4 linked regions of the Arabidopsis thaliana genome follow. The protein of the gene in region 1 interacts with the protein of each later gene in a pairwise test. Each region holds a gene or a part of one and is shown in the gene's direction. Other genes may lie near its edges.

Evidence for each region.
Region 2: the proteins of MYB114 (region 1) and TT8 interact in binary tests that used the Arabidopsis thaliana proteins (3 or more experiments, as listed by UniProt).
Region 3: the proteins of MYB114 (region 1) and EGL3 interact in a two-hybrid assay, tested with the Arabidopsis thaliana proteins (one study listed by BioGRID).
Region 4: the proteins of MYB114 (region 1) and ATMYC1 interact in a two-hybrid assay, tested with the Arabidopsis thaliana proteins (one study listed by BioGRID).

Annotation. Positions count from the first base shown.
Region 1 is NC_003070.9:24,755,481-24,759,455, forward strand, and holds MYB114 (myb domain protein 114), read left to right. Parts: upstream 1-1,817; 5' UTR 1,818-1,932; coding exon 1,933-2,053; intron 2,054-2,565; exon of another isoform or gene 2,566-2,618; coding exon of another isoform or gene 2,619-2,640; coding exon 2,641-2,770; coding exon of another isoform or gene 2,771-2,841; coding exon 2,842-3,010; 3' UTR 3,011-3,455; downstream 3,456-3,975.
Region 2 is NC_003075.7:6,180,084-6,187,059, forward strand, and holds TT8 (basic helix-loop-helix (bHLH) DNA-binding superfamily protein), read left to right. Parts: upstream 1-1,797; 5' UTR 1,798-1,983; coding exon 1,984-2,120; intron 2,121-2,339; coding exon 2,340-2,591; intron 2,592-2,972; coding exon 2,973-3,069; intron 3,070-3,257; coding exon 3,258-3,272; intron 3,273-3,354; coding exon 3,355-3,411; intron 3,412-5,095; coding exon 5,096-5,342; intron 5,343-5,426; coding exon 5,427-6,178; 3' UTR 6,179-6,440; downstream 6,441-6,976. UniProt on the Arabidopsis thaliana protein: Transcription activator, when associated with MYB75/PAP1 or MYB90/PAP2. Involved in the control of flavonoid pigmentation. Plays a key role in regulating leucoanthocyanidin reductase (BANYULS) and dihydroflavonol-4-reductase (DFR).
Region 3 is NC_003070.9:23,597,834-23,603,671, forward strand, and holds EGL3 (basic helix-loop-helix (bHLH) DNA-binding superfamily protein), read left to right. Parts: upstream 1-1,579; 5' UTR 1,580-1,817; exon of another isoform or gene 1,818-1,970; 5' UTR 1,971-1,975; coding exon 1,976-2,094; intron 2,095-2,282; coding exon 2,283-2,555; intron 2,556-3,103; coding exon 3,104-3,200; intron 3,201-3,305; coding exon 3,306-3,377; intron 3,378-3,459; coding exon 3,460-4,197; intron 4,198-4,318; coding exon 4,319-4,738; intron 4,739-4,829; coding exon 4,830-4,901; 3' UTR 4,902-5,331; downstream 5,332-5,838. UniProt on the Arabidopsis thaliana protein: Transcription activator, when associated with MYB75/PAP1, MYB90/PAP2 or TT2. Involved in epidermal cell fate specification. Negatively regulates stomata formation but promotes trichome formation.
Region 4 is NC_003075.7:216,290-221,676, reverse strand, and holds ATMYC1 (basic helix-loop-helix (bHLH) DNA-binding superfamily protein), read left to right. Parts: upstream 1-1,895; 5' UTR 1,896-1,992; coding exon 1,993-2,141; intron 2,142-2,267; coding exon 2,268-2,555; intron 2,556-2,895; coding exon 2,896-2,992; intron 2,993-3,117; coding exon 3,118-3,132; intron 3,133-3,276; coding exon 3,277-3,333; intron 3,334-3,434; coding exon 3,435-3,923; intron 3,924-4,001; coding exon 4,002-4,412; coding exon of another isoform or gene 4,413-4,421; exon of another isoform or gene 4,422-4,443; intron 4,444-4,496; coding exon 4,497-4,557; coding exon of another isoform or gene 4,558-4,571; exon of another isoform or gene 4,572-4,635; coding exon 4,636-4,811; 3' UTR 4,812-4,865; downstream 4,866-5,387. UniProt on the Arabidopsis thaliana protein: Trancsription activator, when associated with MYB75/PAP1 or MYB90/PAP2.

The DNA of each region.
Region 1 (3,975 bases):
ATTCTTAAAACTTACCATTATCGTTGTTTTTATTAGCTTTGAATGATAAACTACTATCAAAACGATATATTTTTTTTGTATATTTTCGATATTTATCATTCACAATTTTTTTTATCAAAATCATTATAATATTTTTTATTTTTAGTTTTATTGTACAACTTTTTCGTATAACTATTTTTTACAGTTTTACATTGTTTCAAAATAACTTACAGTTTCAACTAATTTATGTTATCAATCAGATCTATTATTATTATATTCTATTATATATCAATTTAACACATGGGTTTTGGCAAACATAACCACCGGAGGATCGGAAAGGAACTTGTGATTGAATAGTGTTTTCTTATTAAAGGTTACACACATACAAGTGTGTAAGTCAGATTTTTCTAAAAGATTCATAAATTTAGCATTCTTTGAGAAAAAACTTAAACGTGAAACTTCCAAGTAAATTATTCTTCAGAAAATCTATAAAACTTTGTGTCAGTAAAGTGAAGTTTATTCCTTGAAATTCTCCCAAATCCATACTAGTCTCGTTCATCTGGTATTAATTACTATGACGTCGGTTGAAAAGAAAATATAAAATTCTAAAAATGTATGATAAATATCTATCACTTCAAAAGGAAATTTTCCTTACAGTGTATGATTATTTTTGTTCTGGAAAATCTTGAAAGAAATGACTTCACACCTTATAGCTTTTATGAAATTATGTCTCATGTGGAAAATTGTTTGTGGACGATGAGCATACACGTTGGTTTCACTTGAAAAGTTAAAAAAATTCTTACTATTTCCTTCAAAAATATTCTACAAAATATCAGCTAATCATCACCAGTGCTATCCTATATCATAAAATTACATAATTGGTGTGTTTTGCGCTAACAAAAAAGAATTAATATTATTTTAGTTTTTGTTAAAGGATATTCTGTCTTAGTTTTTATGTTATATCATACTTGTTTCACCAAAATCAAATTATATATTTTAATCATAATCTAGAATATATTATTTTAGAGGTATCTGGAATAAATCAAATTAGTTTTTATGTTATATCATACCTGCTACACACTATGACTTGTTGAATATTTTGTGATCAGGTCTTGGGTTACCTTTTTAGATATTGTAGAAATCTTCATGAAATATGTATGTTGTAGGAAGCCTGAATTTTGACCGTTATGTGGGTCAAGAGTTATGTACTAGATATTTTTTTACTAGATAAAAAAATTTCATGAAATATTTTTGTGACATAAATTCTTCAATTATTATTATTATTTTATTATTTTTTGGTCCTTCAATTATTTATAACAAGAAAATATTGATATAATATATTCTTAGTCCCCCTTGAGGTTTCTGAGGAGATGTGTTACAAAGAAATACTTTTATACTAAACAAACAGTATACACTAATAAGATGAAGATGAATTAAGGGTAAAGCGATCAAAAGATGAAGGCTAGAGTGGGGAAGTTCAATTCTGCTAAATGGAAAAAAAAAAATCACTTGATGAATATGTACATTAGTGTTAAGAATTCAAAGTTTGTGAGATCTGCAGTGGATAAAAACACTCCAATAATCTGTAAATGAAAGAAAAACAAGAGAAAAATAGCCTCCTCATATATATAGACCATCTGCCATCAATTCTCCTATTTTTTCATTTTTGCATGTTTTGAAGTACAGAAAAAGGATGAAGAGACAAGTTAGGTGTCTATGAACCATTTCTCTAGTCAAATCAGAAACCAAACAATAACTTAGCAAATAAAGCACGACATGTAAAACAGAAATGTGGATATTACACATGCACGTCACTTTCCTAAGCCCGTCACGTGTGTATATATTTCCGCTCAGATACTCACACTCTCTACTCCTCCAAGGATCTCTGAAGTCACAATATATACCTATCTCAATCCTTTTCTTATAGTTTGCTTAGATATCTATCTTTGGTCCATGGAGGGTTCGTCCAAAGGGTTGAGGAAAGGTGCATGGACTGCTGAAGAAGATAGTCTCTTGAGGCAGTGTATTGGTAAGTATGGAGAAGGCAAATGGCATCAAGTTCCTTTAAGAGCTGGTATGTATCTAAACACATAATCATGAAAATTTCTTTACACTGTTCATAAAATCATACTTAGACTTTGACTGGTTGTGTTGTATGCTCTATATTAGACTAATGATCAGACCAACATTTTGATATGTTAAATAGTAATATTTTGGTATGCATTTACTGTTCATTACGTATTAACATATATAGACCGGGGTTGGTCCGAAGTTGTTCCGGAATATATCGGAGTGAACGATGAAATAATATACAGACTCGTTAGATTTTGATCCGGTATTCAATATACCGACCAACTATTGGAAACTTTAATGTTGAACTTAGAGGAAGATTTTTTTTTTTTTTTTTTTTTAAAATGTTCTATGTTTATCTACGTTACATATTCTAAAAACAAAATGCGAACTTCCGAAAAGTCGTTTAATTCTACGATTGGTTTGTCTTCTAATTCATAAATGAATTTAGTGAAAGTTTTTATACGAACACGTGCGTATGTGTGTATAGTACATTGTTTCTATTGGTGTGCATAGATTCTTTATGATAAAATTATAGAAAGAGACAGCAATCTTCTTAGGTTTAACTAATGTCAATTATTGGTTTTGTAGGGCTAAATCGGTGCAGGAAAAGTTGTAGACTAAGATGGTTAAACTATTTGAAGCCAAGTATCAAGAGAGGAAAATTTAGTTCTGATGAAGTTGATCTTCTTCTTCGTCTTCATAAGCTTCTAGGAAATAGGTATAATTTACTTTATTCTACTTATTTAACGAGCAATAAGTCTAATACTAGTAACTCGTATGTATACGTAGGTGGTCCTTGATTGCTGGTCGATTACCTGGTCGGACCGCTAATGATGTCAAGAACTACTGGAACACCCATCTGAGTAAGAAGCATGAACCGTGTTGTAAAACTAAGATAAAAAGGATAAATATTATAACCCCTCCTAATACACCGGCCCAAAAAGTCGATATTTTTTAGCCTCGGCCTCGATTCTTCTCTATAAAAACCGGCTGCAACCATCTCGATGGACAGTCTGAAGTTGGTGTAATTCCTCCATGCCTTGGACTCGACAACGATAATGTTTGTGAAAATAGTATCACATGTAACAAAGATGATGAGAAAGATGATTTTGTGGATAATTTTATGGTTGGAGATAATATATGGTTGGAGCGTTTGCTAGACGAGGGCCAAGAGGTAGATGTGCTGGTTACAGAAGCGGCGGCAACAGAAAAGGAGGGCACTTTGGCGTTTGACGTTGAGCAACTTTGGAATTTGTTCGATGGAGAGACTGTGATCTTTGATTAGTGTTTATAAACGTTTGTGTTCTCTTGTTTGTGAGGTTTCTCTATTTAATTTAGTATCTATTTTCTAAATTAACTAATATCTTATAGTATTTTAGGCAAACCTTATGTTTCCGTTTCTGTGTGAGTTTACATTTTGTAAAAAATAAAAAAATAAGAATATATATATTTTGGAATTTTAGATTTTTATTTGAGATTATTTGCATTTGGAATTTTGGATTTTCATTACTTCATAAGTTTTGGACCAATGGTGTTGTACAATGTATATATCTTTTTGGCAATATACATGCCTAATTTTCTTAACAGCAACCGTTGAACTTGTATCATATATTAGTAACTACAGAGACATTAGATTTTGTAAGTATGCGCTATATAATAATAGATTCTTGTACGTGCATAGTGTTTTGCTATGGGCCAACCGGAGAACGGAAATGGACTTCTGATAGAGTGATTGATATATTGGTGTTTTATATTGAAAGGTCACACACTTACACATGTGTTACAAATTGTTTAAAAGATCTATCAAATTCCAATATGTTCAACGCCGTATATGCAAAATATAATAATCGAGTACATTCAATTCTGGCTTACTTTGATTTCGTGTTGGATCCAATGTTCAAAAAATTGTTAGAATGTAATTAG
Region 2 (6,976 bases), on another chromosome or scaffold:
TCATTAGTCATTACCGCTTGATATTTTTACTATCTTACGCATGTTATGAAAGATTATAAAGCTTAGGTTTTGGGTAGCAAAAAAGGGTTAGGAAAAAGAAAACCATACTATTTGTTATCCGAAAATGTCAAACTAATTCCTCTAACTGTGGTAAAAGGTTATAAAATCAAATCCTCTAGATTGATGTAAGTGATTTTTAAATCGTTATTCGGTCAGATCACAAGTTAATGATGAACTTTTCAGGGTTCAATACATGGCGATTTTAGCCATGGATCCCCAACGGGATCATGGGATTACGGTCCAACTGACCGGTTTGGACCGGGTCTTAATATATTGAACAAAATACAAGAAATCTCTCATTCACACGAATGATTACATTTCAGAAAAAGAAAGAAAAAATAACTCAAAAAACTTCACACCAATTTGCATCACACTATATTACCCATTATTTTTCTACAATTATGTGGTCCACTTTTCAAATAGTTCACTCTCATCATAAACCGGCCGGGGTCCTTCAAAGCTCATGCAGTTGTGCGTTGTAAAGATATATTGTATTCCAACAACTAATTCTTGCCAAAACACTTTTGGCTAATGTCATTTTCATTGAAAACAAAGCATTATAAATAGGAATGATTTGTCATTTCTGGAATGGAAGAACTTGGGTTTTAGTTAACATTTGTGCCTAACCAACCTCTCGTTTATGTACTAAAGCATTGTCCTTGTGATTGTGAATAACCAATCGCTCATTTCTGTGTTAGAACAGTATTGTTTATTTTCTGTTATTTGAATCATTTCCAATGAGAAATGAGTTACATAACACCTTTATTTATAAACACAAAGATGCACACAAGGAGAAGCAAAATCAATAAGAAGAAACCACTCCACGTGGCCCGTCGTCAGAGTTACATAATTGGTGAACGACTAAACTCAGAAGAAACAACATGTAATAAGAAACACAGAAGCAGAAGCAAAAGCCAAGCAACATTTATTTTGTCGACAAAAAAGCCAAGAAACATTCAATGTTGATTTTGTCTAAGTAACCAGGTGTACATACATTACCCTTAACCATACCCAAAATCGTATGTACTACGATATGTGTACGTAACAGTATCTATCTACATTTATATTTTATAAGACATTATTAAATGGGAAACTTATAGTGGCTAGTGGCTGCTACTTGGCTAGCAATTAACATCAATAATTTAATAACTCAAATGTGAAACATCTCATTCTTCTCCTTTATTACACCAAACCATTTCTCATTCTTTACTTACCGGTCAGGTCAACAATTCTACCATTCCCCATCTTTGGTTAAGTTTATCTTTTCATTTTAAAGAAAATATATATGAATGTTCATCCAATAATTCCAACTTCTTAAAATTGTTAATGAACATTTTAATCAATATATAATTTTAATATCAATTTTATAAATAATAGAAATGTGAAAAACGCAATTTCTTTGCTCCTTGTAGCAGTAACACAAGTCAAAGCAACATTTGTTTTCATTTGTTTGTCAGTTAGCTATTTTATCTACAATAATATGTTATGCTTTCTGAACAATAAATAAATATAGCATTATTAGATATATTCATTCTGTATTTTGATTTGTCCAATTAGTATATGACACGTCTACAAGATACATAGATCTTTCATTATTTCACTTTCTCATCCAACGTCTGGTGAACCAACCATTCAAAAATCAAAAGTCAACTTTTAATGCACTTGAGTTTTGGTCATGCATTCATATACATACATATATACATAGAAGTCATTACATGCATTATACTTTACTTATGTCAACATGTTGCAAAAGCACTAAGATGATATACGTATACATGCATATTGCAAAAATCAGTGGTCCCATACCATTTTAAGTCATCATGAGCGTATGAGAGTAAATTCTTCTCACATATTAATAACAACCCTTCAAAGTTATAAGATTTTTAGAGAGAGAGCTACCACGTTTTCGTATCTCCGGGAACGATGGATGAATCAAGTATTATTCCGGCAGAGAAAGTGGCCGGAGCTGAGAAAAAAGAGCTTCAAGGGCTGCTTAAGACGGCGGTTCAATCTGTGGACTGGACTTATAGTGTCTTCTGGCAATTTTGTCCTCAACAACGGTTAGTTTCTTATCTCTATAGTTCATTCATCTCTCACAATACAACCATAATATCTATATCCGTATATATTATGTAAACTATATGTTTAAATGAATTCGGCTAATTGTTGGCTTGTCGTAGTGTTACAATTCGATCTTGAAATAATTTTTTTTTTTTTTGAAGGTTTTACAAAATTTATTAAGATTTTTGAACTACTTATATGAAAGTATCATTGTTTAGGGTCTTGGTGTGGGGGAATGGATACTACAACGGTGCAATAAAGACGAGGAAGACAACTCAACCAGCGGAGGTGACGGCAGAAGAGGCGGCGTTAGAGAGGAGCCAACAGCTCAGGGAGCTTTATGAGACACTTTTAGCCGGAGAGTCAACGTCAGAAGCAAGAGCATGCACCGCATTGTCACCGGAGGATTTGACGGAGACAGAATGGTTTTATCTAATGTGCGTCTCTTTCTCTTTTCCTCCTCCATCTGGGTAAACAACTCTCTCCCTATACTCAAGTTTCTAAATTTGTTCTTTCTTTTTTTTCCTTCTCTAAGTGAAGACAAAAATAGTATTGTGTGTTAAATGCGAATATCGAAAATATTGTGTTGACATTAAAGAGAAACTGAGGAAGTTGAGTTACTAGAATAAGAAAGAAATGAGAGTTAATGAAACGTACACACACTACATTTTCATGAACATTATTGCGACCGTTGAGATTCTCATTGTTTGGTGATTGATTATCTAAAGTAGAAGCATGAATAGATATAACATAAATGCATAACAAAATGGGTTAGTTATGGGTATACTTCATGCTTTTCTCTATGTGGTAAAAAAAAATCAAATATAAATTTGGGAGGTAGTAATTTGTAGGATGCCAGGAAAAGCGTATGCAAGGAGGAAGCACGTATGGCTAAGTGGTGCAAATGAAGTTGACAGTAAAACTTTTTCTAGAGCTATTCTCGCTAAGGTAAATTCTTTTATTCATTCACCAACTATACTATGCATCTATTTTTACCTATTTATGTATACACTATACTATGTATCTATCTACTTGTAAACCTATTTATCTATACTTTTATACATTTTCACTGATTAACTTGAATAATTCTTCTTGTCGTTTTATGGGCCTTTTACGTCGGTTCCTCAATGACTTAGAGTGCTAAAATTCAGGTAAAATTTGTCTTTATTAGTTTGCTCTTTTTAGTAAGATTTGAGAATTGTATTCTGATGAAAATGTATTTTAAAAAAGCAGACAGTGGTTTGCATTCCAATGCTTGATGGTGTTGTGGAACTAGGCACAACGAAAAAGGTAACGTTGTATATACTCTCTCTTTTATTTACTTGTTAATGAAATATATAAACAAAATAACAAAGTGAATATAGCCTATCTTTCTTTAGGTTTAGTAATGTTAAATTAAGGAGATGCACTACAAAAAAAAGGTTGTTTTACATCATTTATTATAAATATTTGCATTAGTTAAAAGTGATGTAAAAGAATTTTGTATCACTTAAATAAGTGACTTAAATATTGTTGATGCAAATAATTTGCATCAGTTAATTAGTAACTGATGTAAATAATCAAAATAATTACATCGATTATTATAATTGATATCAATATTGTATCAGTTACTAAAAATGATGTAATGTTTACATCAATTTATTTAAGTGATGTTAGTATTTGTTTCGGTTTAAATAACTGATTTAATTAATATATATATAATTATTAATACAATGTTATTAATATTTCAAATAATTATTTTATTTATTTCTTTTTTTTTTTTAAATAACAGATCATTGTGGATAATTACTCGTTGGAATATCTACTAAAATTTTATCAAGATTTAATAAAATATTTTACATGAACAATAAATCTTTATATAAGATAAGCAAAAAAATAATCATAATTTGGTTTTGGTTTCTTCGTGTTTAAACACATCTTTCTTCTGTTCCATGCTTCTTCCTTCCATTAACTGTTGGTTCTTCTTGAAAAATACCATTTCTTCTTCTATGCCATCTCTCTTCCATTTACAGAATCAAAATCATACTTTGGTTATAACTTATATCTCTTGAATCCTCATCACACTTGAGTTTCTGCTGTACAAAATAAAAAAGAGAGTAATTGTTTGAAAATTTACAGAATTGTTTTGGTCGGAATAAGAATAACCATTTGTAAGTATTTTTAAAAGAAAGTGATAGAGTACCTTTACTTTGTGTTTCTCCAAACTGTGTAGGAAAACAAACAGTCCTAATGATCAATGGCAGATTTCTGAAAATAAAAGAAAAGAAAAAAACTGAGCAATGGTTAAGAAAAAGAGAAAGATAGAATGATAGAAAAATAAGAAAGTACTTGTCGTTGAAGATGAAGAATTGAATGAGAGTTATGAGATTTCAAAAACTAATTTGAAGATATTCTAAAAACGTTTTTGGATACAAAACTGTAAAAAAAGATCGTGAGCGTAAAAGCAGGATTTATAGTGAAGGAAACAAATATATTTAGTTAGCTGATTTTGAGGGAAAATATAGGAATTAATAATAAATTATTAACCCAATATGATTATTTATTTATGGTAATAACAATTTCTCGTCATCTACAATAAATTCAAGTTAGTTTTTTGTTTAAATTAAAATACAGAAAAACTTATTAGCATCACTTCTTATTGATGTATAATTTTATATCATTTTTATAAACTGATGTTAATAAAATTAAGTGAATACATCGGTTATTTAATTGGTGTAAATACAGATTTTTGTATCAATTTGTTAAAATGATGCAAACTAATACAAATTTCTATCAATTTGATTAAAGTGACGCTAAACATGTTAATTTATACATCACTTATTATAATTGATGTTTAATTATTTATTTTGTGTCATTTGCTTATAAGTAATTTAAACTTGTACCATTTATACTTGTGATACTATTTAATTGATGTAATCTATCCTTTTTTTTGTAGTGATGGATCAATATTTATTTGTTGTATTTGTGTGTGTAGGTAAGAGAAGATGTAGAGTTTGTTGAGCTCACAAAGAGTTTCTTCTATGACCACTGCAAGACGAACCCAAAGCCGGCTCTTTCTGAACACTCCACCTACGAAGTGCATGAAGAAGCCGAAGACGAAGAAGAAGTAGAAGAAGAGATGACAATGTCAGAGGAAATGAGGCTTGGCTCTCCTGATGATGAAGATGTTTCCAATCAAAATCTACACTCTGATCTTCATATTGAATCAACCCATACGTTAGGTATATATATCTACCCTAAGCTACTTATATTTTGCGGATTTATTTCGCTATATCTAAGAAATTATCATTTGTATATATATGTAGACACACATATGGACATGATGAATCTAATGGAGGAAGGTGGAAACTATTCTCAGACAGTAACAACACTTCTCATGTCACACCCCACAAGTCTTCTTTCAGATTCAGTTTCCACATCTTCTTACATCCAATCATCGTTTGCCACGTGGAGGGTTGAGAATGGCAAAGAGCATCAGCAAGTGAAAACGGCGCCGTCGTCACAATGGGTGCTCAAACAAATGATCTTCAGAGTTCCTTTCCTCCATGACAACACTAAAGATAAGAGGCTACCGCGGGAAGATCTGAGCCACGTAGTAGCAGAGCGACGCAGGAGGGAGAAGCTGAACGAGAAATTCATAACGTTGAGATCAATGGTTCCATTTGTGACCAAGATGGATAAAGTCTCAATCCTTGGAGACACCATTGCGTACGTAAATCATCTTCGAAAGAGGGTCCATGAGCTTGAGAATACTCATCATGAGCAACAGCATAAGCGGACGCGTACTTGTAAGAGAAAAACATCGGAGGAGGTGGAGGTTTCCATCATAGAGAATGATGTTTTGTTAGAGATGAGATGTGAGTACCGAGATGGTTTGTTGCTTGACATTCTTCAGGTTCTTCATGAGCTTGGTATAGAGACTACGGCAGTTCATACCTCGGTGAACGACCATGATTTCGAGGCGGAGATAAGGGCGAAAGTAAGAGGGAAGAAAGCAAGCATCGCTGAGGTCAAAAGAGCCATCCACCAAGTCATAATACATGATACTAATCTATAGACCCTAACTTTATTGATGCCAACTCTAGAGAAGGATAATTAAGCGTATTTTTGTTTTAGCCTCACATGTATTAAGACATCAGTTACATATATAGCCGGATGCAACATATAAATGAAAATGTACTAGATGATATTGTTCATTTGTCCAATGTAGTACTTGTGTATGATGCAATTGCAACATATAAATGCAAATGTACTAGATGACGATGTTGTTCGTTGTCCAATTTAGTACTTTTGTATGAATGCGATATTTGGATGCAGATTCAGTTGCATCTAAAACATCATATTTTTTTTGATGCATAAAGATGTAGAATTTCTATGTAGTTTTTTCTTACGTTCAAATTTGAGAAAATATTATTAAAAAATCTTTACAAAATTCATTAAAATAATTTATGCCAAAATTTGTATGTCATAATTTATGTAATTTTATCATTAACCTCAGATTAGAGAAATCAAAGAGTTTATATAAAACATTACATTCTACTTTGGTGCTCAATTTTAAGAATCAAGTTGTAGCACATCAAATTACGAAATCAAATTTTCCAGCAAAATTACGAAATTGCGTTTTAGTGTAAGAATCAACAATTTCTAGAGTAGACTAATAGTTATACTCATAATTAGTGTATGGAAGAACATTTATAAGTCAAGAATATTAAGCTATCAACCAACGAGATAAATGTATTGACAATGTTCATAGTTGCAGCATGAGCTATATATATTTTTCTCTTAGTTGATCATCATACATTATCAAAGCTGCAAGATGTGTAACTGCATTGGCTCCACTTCCTTTGTTGTCTTC
Region 3 (5,838 bases), 1.2 Mb from region 1:
ATGCATTAGAAGTACTGTCCAGAATTGTAGTATTTCACTACATTTTTATAGTCAAATTATATATATTAAGCAAAAGTCAAAATGACCCTTTTTGAGCTGAGAGCCGGAGACTATAGGCTACAGAATCTAATGTTTGCGTGTGTTCACGATGACCACAGTGTAACTAGATGACATATCTTTTAGGAAAGTAACGAAAAAAATAATCAGCAAAGAAAAACTATTTAAGAAATTACTGAAAACACAGACGTTCACGTTGATATAAATGTACAAATCTTCATTTATCAGGTTATTATGTTTTATGAATCATACAGTTAGTACATGAAATAAACAATATCTGACTCCGTTTTTCAACGTACAGACACGACAAGTAGTCCTAGTTAGGGGTGATAATTTTGGGAGATGCGAAGAATTAATTAAGAGCATGCACATAGCATATGATAATAATGACTCTTGGTTTCTTCTTTATTAATCATCTCATTTAAATATCATTTTCTCGTGATTTTGATCAACATAGGTTGTTACATAGCTAAACCCATTATCAATCCCTTACCTTAGAATTGAAGTCAAGGAAGAATACTAAACCTTACATTATCTTTAGATCCCAAATTCACTCGTTCTTGATAACCTTATTGTCTAACTCCATATATAATTGGCTCGTGTACGCATCTTTAATACAAATAATTTACGAGGTTGCGATTAATTAAAATGAAGGTGCATAGAAAATTAATTAGCAATTATACAAATGTTCTATGGTATTTCCGAAGATTCGAAAACAATGTAGAATATATATATTCAATGAACATAGTATATATTATATTTTAGTTAAACCATACAACGTAATTTAGTCAATACTAGAAGCTTGTCTCTCTCTCCAGGGTATCTCCTCGAGGCATAACATTAATTTCATGTCTTTCTTCGTGTTTCACCATTAGGATTTGTTCTATCTTAAAATCAAGTTAATATTTGTGTATATATTTGACCAGTAAGGCAGTAACATATAAACATTGCTTATAAGGGTGGCAAATTGGTTTGGTTGGATTTGTAAGTGTTATGCCTATGAATTTTTTTTTTGGTTCAAACTCTGCTTAAAGTCTAAAGACCTATATTATGAGTTACTAAAAAAAGTTATTTCCTCCGTTTCAAAATATAAGATGTTTTAAATAAAAATATAAAAATTAAAAAATCAAAATATAAGATGTTTTAATTAAAAATATAAAAATTAAAAAATATTTTTTAAAAAATTCAGCAGATTATAAAAGCTGATGCATAATATAAATATGTATACAATATTAAATTAATCTATAATTTACATAAAAACTTGAAAATATTTTATATTGTGAAACAAACAAATTTCTTCAGAACATCGTTTATCATGAAACGTAGAGAATAGGACATATCATTGATAGAAAAAAGATTTTAGAGATGGAAAAATAACTAATTTCTCTTAACAAAAATAAATTTCCAAAAGGAGAGTGGTGCTTGGAACACCGTATTCAAAAGGGTTATACACTAGACACTACTTTTTTTTTTTTTTACCATCTTGTTTTATATATATTTATTTAAAATTCCTCGTAAAGTTCAGTGTTTTGTGATTATATACAGTGTACACACACCTAAAATAAGTATCCATAAAGAGATTTGGTCATTCGGACACCGTCCTTTTCTCTCAACTCAAAGCTCAATTCAACCACAACAGATAGTAACTTGAAAGTCACAAATATTTAATATTTTCCCATTATAGAAGGTTAAAAAAAATAAATATATTCTGGGTTTTGTTGTCTTCTTCTTTCTTCCTCAGGAAACCAAACCAATGTCATGTAAAAATCACTAACTCATGACTAGTCATAACCTTTAAATCACTTCTGCTTTTTTTCTGTTTCTCTTTTGATTTATTCAAAGACAACAAAGTTTTGTTTTTGACAAAAAATCTGATCTTTGTTTGTTCGTTTGTTTGTTACATGGGGATGAAGAAACAATGGCAACCGGAGAAAACAGAACGGTGCCGGACAATCTAAAGAAACAGCTCGCAGTTTCAGTTCGAAACATTCAATGGAGTTATGGAATCTTCTGGTCTGTCTCTGCTTCTCAACCAGGGTACAATCTCGTAATCTTTATCCTTCAAATTAACTTTTCTTGAAAATAAAGTTTTGTTTGAGACATTCTTGACTTTAGTCCAAAACTCAGATAAAACTTTATCCTTACTTCAAGATTTCGATTTTTGTTATGTTTTCTCGATTAATCCAATTTTTCTTGGCTATCTTTTTTGTTTTCTCTAAACGAAGAGTGTTGGAGTGGGGAGATGGATATTACAATGGAGACATAAAGACAAGGAAGACGATTCAAGCAGCAGAAGTCAAAATTGACCAGTTAGGTCTTGAGAGAAGTGAGCAGCTTAGAGAGCTTTATGAATCTCTCTCCCTCGCTGAATCCTCAGCTTCCGGTAGCTCTCAGGTCACTAGACGAGCTTCCGCCGCCGCTCTCTCACCGGAGGACCTCACCGACACCGAGTGGTACTACTTAGTATGCATGTCTTTCGTCTTCAACATCGGTGAAGGGTAATTCCGTCTCTTCCTCATAATCCTTTCATTTCACCTTTTTTAAAAACAAAAACCTATCTTTCAGAAAAATTTCTTTTATGAAGAATATCGTTTTTAAATTATAGTATTATTTTATTCGTAGACATTATAAGAAAATGTAAACGATACCAAAATTCTAAAAAAAAAGTATAAGGGTATGTTTTATTTTGTCTCATAAAAAAAGACAAGAACACCCTTTATTAGCTTGTCTCCTTCATTTCTTCTTCCATGTGAGCTTATTCAGAAATCCGACATGTACGAGTTTAATTATTAACAATGCAATTATCCTTTATATTTACTTAATTTTTTTTATGTTTGTAGGTTTTTTTAAAGTATACCTCTTTTTAATCTTAGAAGACATACATAGATAGAAATGCGAAAGCACAACGGAAATAAGTTTTTACTTCATTTGCATAATTGCATTATACATTTGCTATTCAAAGAAAGTAGTAGAAAACTTTTGTTCCCATTAAGATAAAGATTTTGAGATACAAAACATAAAGGGTATTTCCGTCTTTCTAATGTAGAATCCCCGGAGGAGCGTTATCCAATGGAGAACCAATATGGCTTTGTAACGCTGAAACCGCCGATAGCAAAGTCTTCACTCGTTCTCTTCTAGCTAAAGTAAGTTTTTTGCAATTGGAAACGCTAACGCTAGAATTCAAGAACGCTATAACTGAAAACGCTCTTTTTTTTTTTTTTTTTCGTTTGGCGTTTTGCTCTTTAAAGAGTGCTTCGCTTCAGACAGTGGTTTGCTTCCCGTTTCTTGGAGGAGTCCTTGAGATTGGCACGACCGAACATGTAAGCCTATATTTCCTATTTTTTTTCCAACACTATCAAAACATTCTTAAAAGTACCCAAAACTTATCTTTTGTTCTTTTAGATTAAAGAGGACATGAACGTGATACAAAGTGTTAAGACGTTGTTCCTTGAAGCTCCTCCATATACTACAATATCGACAAGATCAGACTATCAAGAAATTTTTGATCCCTTAAGTGACGATAAATACACTCCGGTGTTTATAACCGAAGCTTTTCCAACAACTTCTACTAGCGGGTTTGAGCAAGAACCTGAGGATCATGATTCGTTCATCAACGATGGTGGTGCGTCTCAGGTACAAAGCTGGCAGTTTGTGGGTGAAGAAATCAGTAACTGCATTCACCAATCGTTAAATTCAAGCGATTGCGTTTCCCAAACGTTTGTTGGAACAACCGGGAGACTTGCTTGCGATCCAAGGAAGAGTAGGATTCAACGGTTAGGTCAGATTCAAGAACAGAGTAACCATGTAAATATGGACGACGATGTTCATTACCAAGGCGTGATATCGACGATTTTCAAAACAACGCATCAGCTAATACTCGGACCGCAGTTTCAGAACTTCGATAAGCGGTCTAGCTTCACAAGGTGGAAGCGATCATCATCTGTGAAAACATTGGGAGAGAAATCGCAGAAGATGATAAAGAAGATACTCTTCGAGGTTCCTTTGATGAACAAGAAAGAAGAGTTGTTACCGGACACACCAGAGGAAACCGGGAACCATGCCTTGTCCGAGAAGAAACGCCGCGAGAAATTGAATGAACGGTTTATGACATTGAGATCAATCATTCCCTCAATTAGTAAGGTAACCGATTCTAGCAAATCTGTTTCAGTAACGTTTTATGTTTATTTCTTGATAATAGGAAGACATGTTTAAATATAATGCTCTGAAGGAACTAAGCTTGAGTCTCTTGCTGATTCTACAGATTGATAAAGTGTCGATTCTTGATGATACAATTGAGTATCTTCAAGATTTACAGAAACGGGTTCAAGAGTTGGAATCTTGTAGAGAATCTGCTGATACAGAGACACGGATAACGATGATGAAGAGGAAGAAACCGGATGATGAGGAGGAAAGAGCATCAGCGAATTGTATGAACAGCAAAAGGAAGGGGAGTGATGTGAATGTAGGAGAAGATGAACCAGCTGATATCGGTTATGCTGGTCTAACGGATAACTTAAGGATCAGTTCATTAGGTAACGAGGTGGTTATTGAGCTTAGATGCGCTTGGAGAGAAGGGATATTGCTTGAGATAATGGATGTGATTAGTGATCTCAACTTGGATTCTCACTCGGTTCAGTCGTCAACCGGAGACGGTTTACTCTGCTTAACTGTCAATTGCAAGGTACAGTCATTAAACCAAGCTTGATTTATGTTACTCAACCGGAATATGAGCAAACCGAAATGTGATATGTAATGTTTAATGTTGATTGCAGCATAAAGGGACAAAAATAGCAACAACAGGAATGATCCAAGAGGCACTTCAAAGGGTTGCATGGATATGTTAAGGATTCAAGGTTTAGATTTGACAAAATTAGCTTTTTCTCTGGTTTGGTTTCCCAATTTTCGGTAATCAGTGATTCTAACCGAGTTTTTGTGATTTTGAAGTTTTGGAAGATCCTTAAGAATTCTTGAAAAATCGTTCCTTTTGGCTCATTACGTAGGAGAAGACAATAAGAAATTACTTACTTAGCAATTAGCATACTATGAAATTCAATTATGCGAAATATGAAAACCACTCGTAGTAGTTCGTGCACTATCATTTTTAAAAGTAAGTAAACTAGAACTTTTTTTTTGTTGTTGAAAGTAACTTTTGTATAAGTATTTGTAACGAGATCATATTTTGTGACTAGTTCAAGTTCGACCAAAAACATTATAGTAAAATCTAAAGAGATACTACATAGCCCGATTCCAGTATCTTAAGTCTTCAATCTCACTTCAAATATTCTTTATATGTTTTTAGAAAAGTTATGTAAGAAATTAAAAAAATATTTTTAGAAAAGTTAAAGATAGAAATGGTGGTCAAAAGCTGATAAAAGTGTTCGCAAAATACACTGCCTTATAGAGAAAAGAAGTAATGTCATTTCAAATAATTGCATCTAACGCCACTGAGATCTCACTTCAACATGTGTTACCATTTTAACATTAACTTTTTATTTCAAAAAGAAAGGAAGAAAATTGTAAGCACAAGGACTATACTGTATTTGGATTTCGTTTGGTAGCATCAAAGTAACACTCTCATTTTAGTAAGAGGTTAACTTTATTGAAAATACACATAATGTGGGGTTAGAAATTGTGTTGAACAATTTCTTGATTTAGAACGAAACTTAAAAAGAGTGGAAATTCTTTAATGGGTTGGTTGGCATGGTAGGTGGCCATTAAGAAGATCCATGAATTGGTGAAGTTGAGGTTTATATCATGTATTAGCCTCGGTATATAGTGTGT
Region 4 (5,387 bases), on another chromosome or scaffold:
GACCCCAACAAAAAAAAAAAAAAAAAAAACTGAAACTAATACAAGTCAAGACCCAACTATAGTAACTAGGTTTGGGTGAACCATTGGGACAACAATCTTCCACAACCTTTGCGATATTGTCACGGATGGTTATGTCAATCTGCCACAAAACAATCTTAGGAGAGAACTTGAAGTGTTGTGCAATCTCTCATTTCTTTCTCTCCGAAGAAAGAAAATTGTTGCTTGTATAATGAGAATTAAAGACTTCAAGTTCTCACTCAACTTTAAATTTATCTAACTTTTCTCTTTGTCGTGGTTCATGTCGCTTCTTTTTCATCCTGAATGCAATTTGATATAGGATCCCATTGGTTAGGATTGTATATGTTTTGTAAAATTTAGGGTAATATATAGACTTTTATACTATAATTTTATTATTATATACATTTAAAAAATGTCTAGGGCATCTAAAATTAAATTAATTGTTTCTATGAAAATAGAAAATATAAACACAAACATATGGCTATAATGAGTGTGTTGTGCCAACAGAAATAATTTATAAAATTAAACACAAAGTTTTGTCGTTATGGAAATAAATGTGCATGCAACCACAAGTGGTGCGTTACTAAATTATGTAGGGCTTCGTGGATAGAGATGGATCAATTATTATTTTCACGAGTTTCTTGCCTTCATTTCAGCCAGCTCTCTCCTGATCTTGCCTTCAATTTTATTACTATTTTTTTACTGCCACTTGCTATATTTACTTACTTCGGACAAAATAGTGCTTTGATGGTAAACAAATAACGATCGGTATATGCGATGTCTCGCGATTGATTATCAAACTTGAACAGTAGTGTGTATTTGTTTAATATATAATCTATTAGAGTATCATGGAATTATTCGGGTGAAATGCGCATTTATATCTATCATAGAAACTAGAATCTTCACTATCCAAATAGTATATTCCATTTTCTTGCAACTACGTATAACTACATTCTGTTTGTCATATATTTAAGATCGAGTAACAAAAAATTAATCATCTTCATTGATGTGAGCCAGACAAAGAGTTCAATTTTTTTGGTTGTTAAAGTATGTTGATACTTGATACGTTTACCAAAACACAAAAAAACAATGTAGGTCGATACGTTCCATTTCCACACAACAAGATAGATACAAATATATAATGATTGTAAGACAATAAGACCCCGACATGTCTTAACACGAAAAAAAAAGTAACTAAGTTTATATAAACCAACACAAGTTTAACTAAGAATCTAAGAATCTCTACTTTGTTGATTTCATAAGTGTATTCATCTAAATTAGTTATAAGTACAATGTAATATCAACATGTATTTATATTGTCTCTTGTTGGATATTAACTATCCAAACCAAACCTATAATATGAAATCATCAAAACATTAATCATTATGGTCAAACTATCTCAAGTTGTATTCTTTAAAAAGTGTCACGATAAACTCTAACATCATAGTGGATTTAAGACAACACAAATCCAAAAGAGTTAAAAAGATCGGTCTTAAATTTATGATTCATATCCATGCATGATGTTGGCCAATCACCTAGTATAGTAGTAATAACCAAGCTTTTGACTAAATGAATAGGAGGAAACAAAAAAACTATATTGAATCTTTCTTTTTGCAATATTTTTCAGCATCATCACTAATTTAGAGAATATTTTACCTTGGTTTTCACCAAATAGAATCCAACACTATTACCATATGTATTGTATAAAGATAAGTCACTCCAAAAACCAAGATCATGACCCAAGTCAACCACTCTCTCTCATAATTCAGACACAGTACTCAACTTTAAAGACACTCTTTTAAGACTTTCCATCAGGACCAAGCTGAGAAAGAGAAAGCAATAAAGAAAGAAAGAAAAGGAAATAAAGCTTCAATACCAAACCCTTCTTTAATAAATTTTGCCTTTTGGTTGTCTCCTCTTTATCAATCACTTTGGTTCCATACTTTTAAATTCAGTTCTTCACGATATCTAGATATGTCTTTGACAATGGCTGATGGTGTAGAAGCTGCAGCAGGAAGAAGTAAAAGACAAAACAGCTTATTAAGAAAACAACTTGCTTTAGCTGTAAGAAGTGTTCAATGGAGCTACGCAATCTTCTGGTCGTCTTCACTTACTCAACCTGGGTAAGTATAATCTAATATTCATCATGTACCAAAATTATCAGATCTTGTTGTTCTCATCTTTGCATTTCCATTTTCTCTTCTTTTAAATCTTGGGTTACTTATGAGTACTATGTTCTACTAATTTAGGGTTTTGGAGTGGGGAGAAGGATGTTACAATGGAGATATGAAGAAGAGGAAGAAGAGTTATGAATCTCATTATAAATATGGGTTGCAAAAAAGCAAGGAGCTTCGGAAACTTTATTTGTCTATGCTTGAAGGAGACAGTGGTACTACTGTTAGTACTACTCATGATAATCTCAATGATGATGATGATAATTGTCACAGTACAAGTATGATGCTGTCACCAGATGACCTCTCTGATGAAGAGTGGTACTATTTAGTCTCCATGTCCTATGTCTTCTCTCCTTCACAATGGTTTGTTCTCTCACTCTCTCTCTCTCTTCTCCTATGAATTTGTACACTAAAATATATTAGCTCTTGTGAACTATTCATATAGAAAAACCAATTTGCAATAAAGAAGTAATGAGAAATGTCCTTTCATTTTAAGATGAAACATCCATCACTTTGGGTAAAGAGTTTAGTACCACCAAAACCATTTGGTAAATAGTGGAGTGATTATTCCTTTGGGGTTCCTTTTTGTTACACTTTCACCTTTTGCATTTTAAGTAATCCTAGATTAAGTTTTTTTTTTCTCTTTTATGATCATTAATTATTGTCATTTTGGCTTTTTTGGTTGTTTATGTATATACTTTAGTTTGCCTGGAAGAGCTTCAGCGACGGGTGAGACCATATGGCTCTGCAACGCTCAATATGCGGAGAACAAGCTCTTCTCTCGTTCTTTGTTAGCAAGAGTAAGTTCTCAGAAACTTCTAATTTCCTCTTCTTGAATCTTGATATATCAAGATCGAATCTGACTAAAAATCTCCTTTGATCTTCTTTGCTTTTCATTACTGTTCATATGGCTTCTCTCCTTTAGAGCGCATCAATTCAGGTACGTTATAATGTTTGTTATAACTGGATTCTGATTGTTAGAAATAAAAGTTTAGTTCTCTTATTGTTAGAAATGAAAGTTTAGTTATCTATATATCAATTTGGATAGAAGATTTATAGAATGTATCTGTGTTGTTATCTCCAGACTGTTGTGTGTTTCCCTTACTTGGGCGGAGTCATTGAGCTGGGCGTCACTGAATTGGTAACTCTCCATCTTAATATATAAAGTTTTACTTTTGTTGCTTGCTTCACAAGAATTAAATATACCTTACTTTGTTTAATTTTGTTCATGATCAATGAAAGATTTCAGAAGACCATAACCTGCTTCGAAACATCAAATCTTGCTTGATGGAAATATCTGCACACCAAGACAACGATGACGAGAAGAAGATGGAGATTAAGATCAGTGAAGAGAAGCATCAGCTTCCATTAGGTATTTCTGATGAAGACTTGCATTACAAAAGAACCATTTCAACAGTACTCAACTACTCCGCAGATAGATCAGGTAAGAACGATAAGAACATTCGTCATCGTCAGCCAAATATTGTTACTTCTGAACCTGGCTCAAGTTTCTTGCGGTGGAAGCAATGTGAGCAGCAAGTCTCGGGTTTTGTTCAGAAAAAAAAGTCACAGAATGTGTTGCGGAAGATATTGCATGATGTCCCTTTGATGCACACAAAGAGAATGTTCCCAAGTCAGAACTCTGGTCTGAATCAAGATGATCCTTCAGATAGAAGAAAAGAGAACGAAAAGTTCAGTGTCCTTAGAACTATGGTTCCCACTGTCAACGAGGTAATAACTCTTTTTCTAAATCCTTAGAGACAAGACTGTGTTTCAGAAGCCAACACTCTGTTTTGAATCTTTGTGCAGGTTGATAAAGAATCGATACTAAACAACACAATCAAGTACCTGCAAGAACTGGAGGCAAGAGTAGAAGAGCTAGAATCTTGTATGGGATCAGTTAATTTTGTAGAAAGACAAAGAAAGACGACAGAGAACCTTAACGACTCTGTGTTGATCGAAGAGACATCAGGGAACTACGATGATAGCACGAAGATCGATGACAATTCAGGAGAAACCGAACAAGTCACTGTTTTCAGAGATAAGACACATTTGAGAGTTAAACTCAAAGAAACAGAAGTTGTGATCGAAGTAAGATGTTCTTACAGAGACTACATAGTTGCGGACATCATGGAAACTCTGAGCAATCTTCACATGGATGCTTTCTCTGTTAGATCTCACACGCTCAATAAGTTCCTCACATTGAATCTCAAGGCCAAGGTAAATTAATCTTACTGATGTTTGGAAAAGGCAGATTTGGGTTTTCTTGACTTACACGTAACGTTTTTGGGTTTATGCATGCAGTTTCGCGGGGCTGCAGTTGCGTCCGTAGGAATGATTAAGCGAGAGCTGAGAAGAGTCATTGGTGATTTGTTTTAATGTTCTTCTTAGTAAAAATTCTTATATTTTCTTAAACTTTTGATGAAATGTTATATTTATCTAGACTTTCGTGAACCGATATGCGATGTGCCATTATCTTTACATCAAGTTTTCAGGGTTTTTGTATGTAAAGTTTGCCAAAGTTTGGTTGGAATTTTCGACAACGTTGTCTCTTCCTCTTCTACAAAACCAAGATCTATACTTATTCATAATTCATGGGCGATTTGTATCTTTCATTAATGATTGTTTTGAGCTATTATATTATTTGTATTGATAGAAAAAAATAACCAATTGGCTTTGGCTCAACTTCTTTCCCGTGAAGAGGATGGATCATATACATATCCTATTGTAATTTGAATGAACCCTATTGGGTCAAGGATCATGATCTCATGGGAAAGCTAATGAGCTTTATCCACCTCAAAGCCAATTGGTTACTAATGCTTGAACTAAATCTGTCTTATATACTAGCTAAAATTTCCATATGTTTCCGATGTGGGATTTGTTAAAGTTACTAATGCAATTTTTCTGCCGACATTATCATAATAAGTTGTACCTTAAACCTCAAGTAATTGATTTGGTCCTCATAGGCTATTAGGTTTAGTGGGCTTTTGGGCCGTATTAAACCCGTTTGATTAGAAAAGCTAGCGCTCGCCAAAAGCCCTAAACTTGTCTCGTAGCCTCAACCTCTTGATATTATGCTTCGTTTAGGTCGTCATGTGTGATTCTGTGCTTCAGTTTCTTTCTAAATCCTTAAATAAACGGATTGATATTTACTAAACGGAGGATAATGTAACTTGAAAAGGTATTTATTGAAAA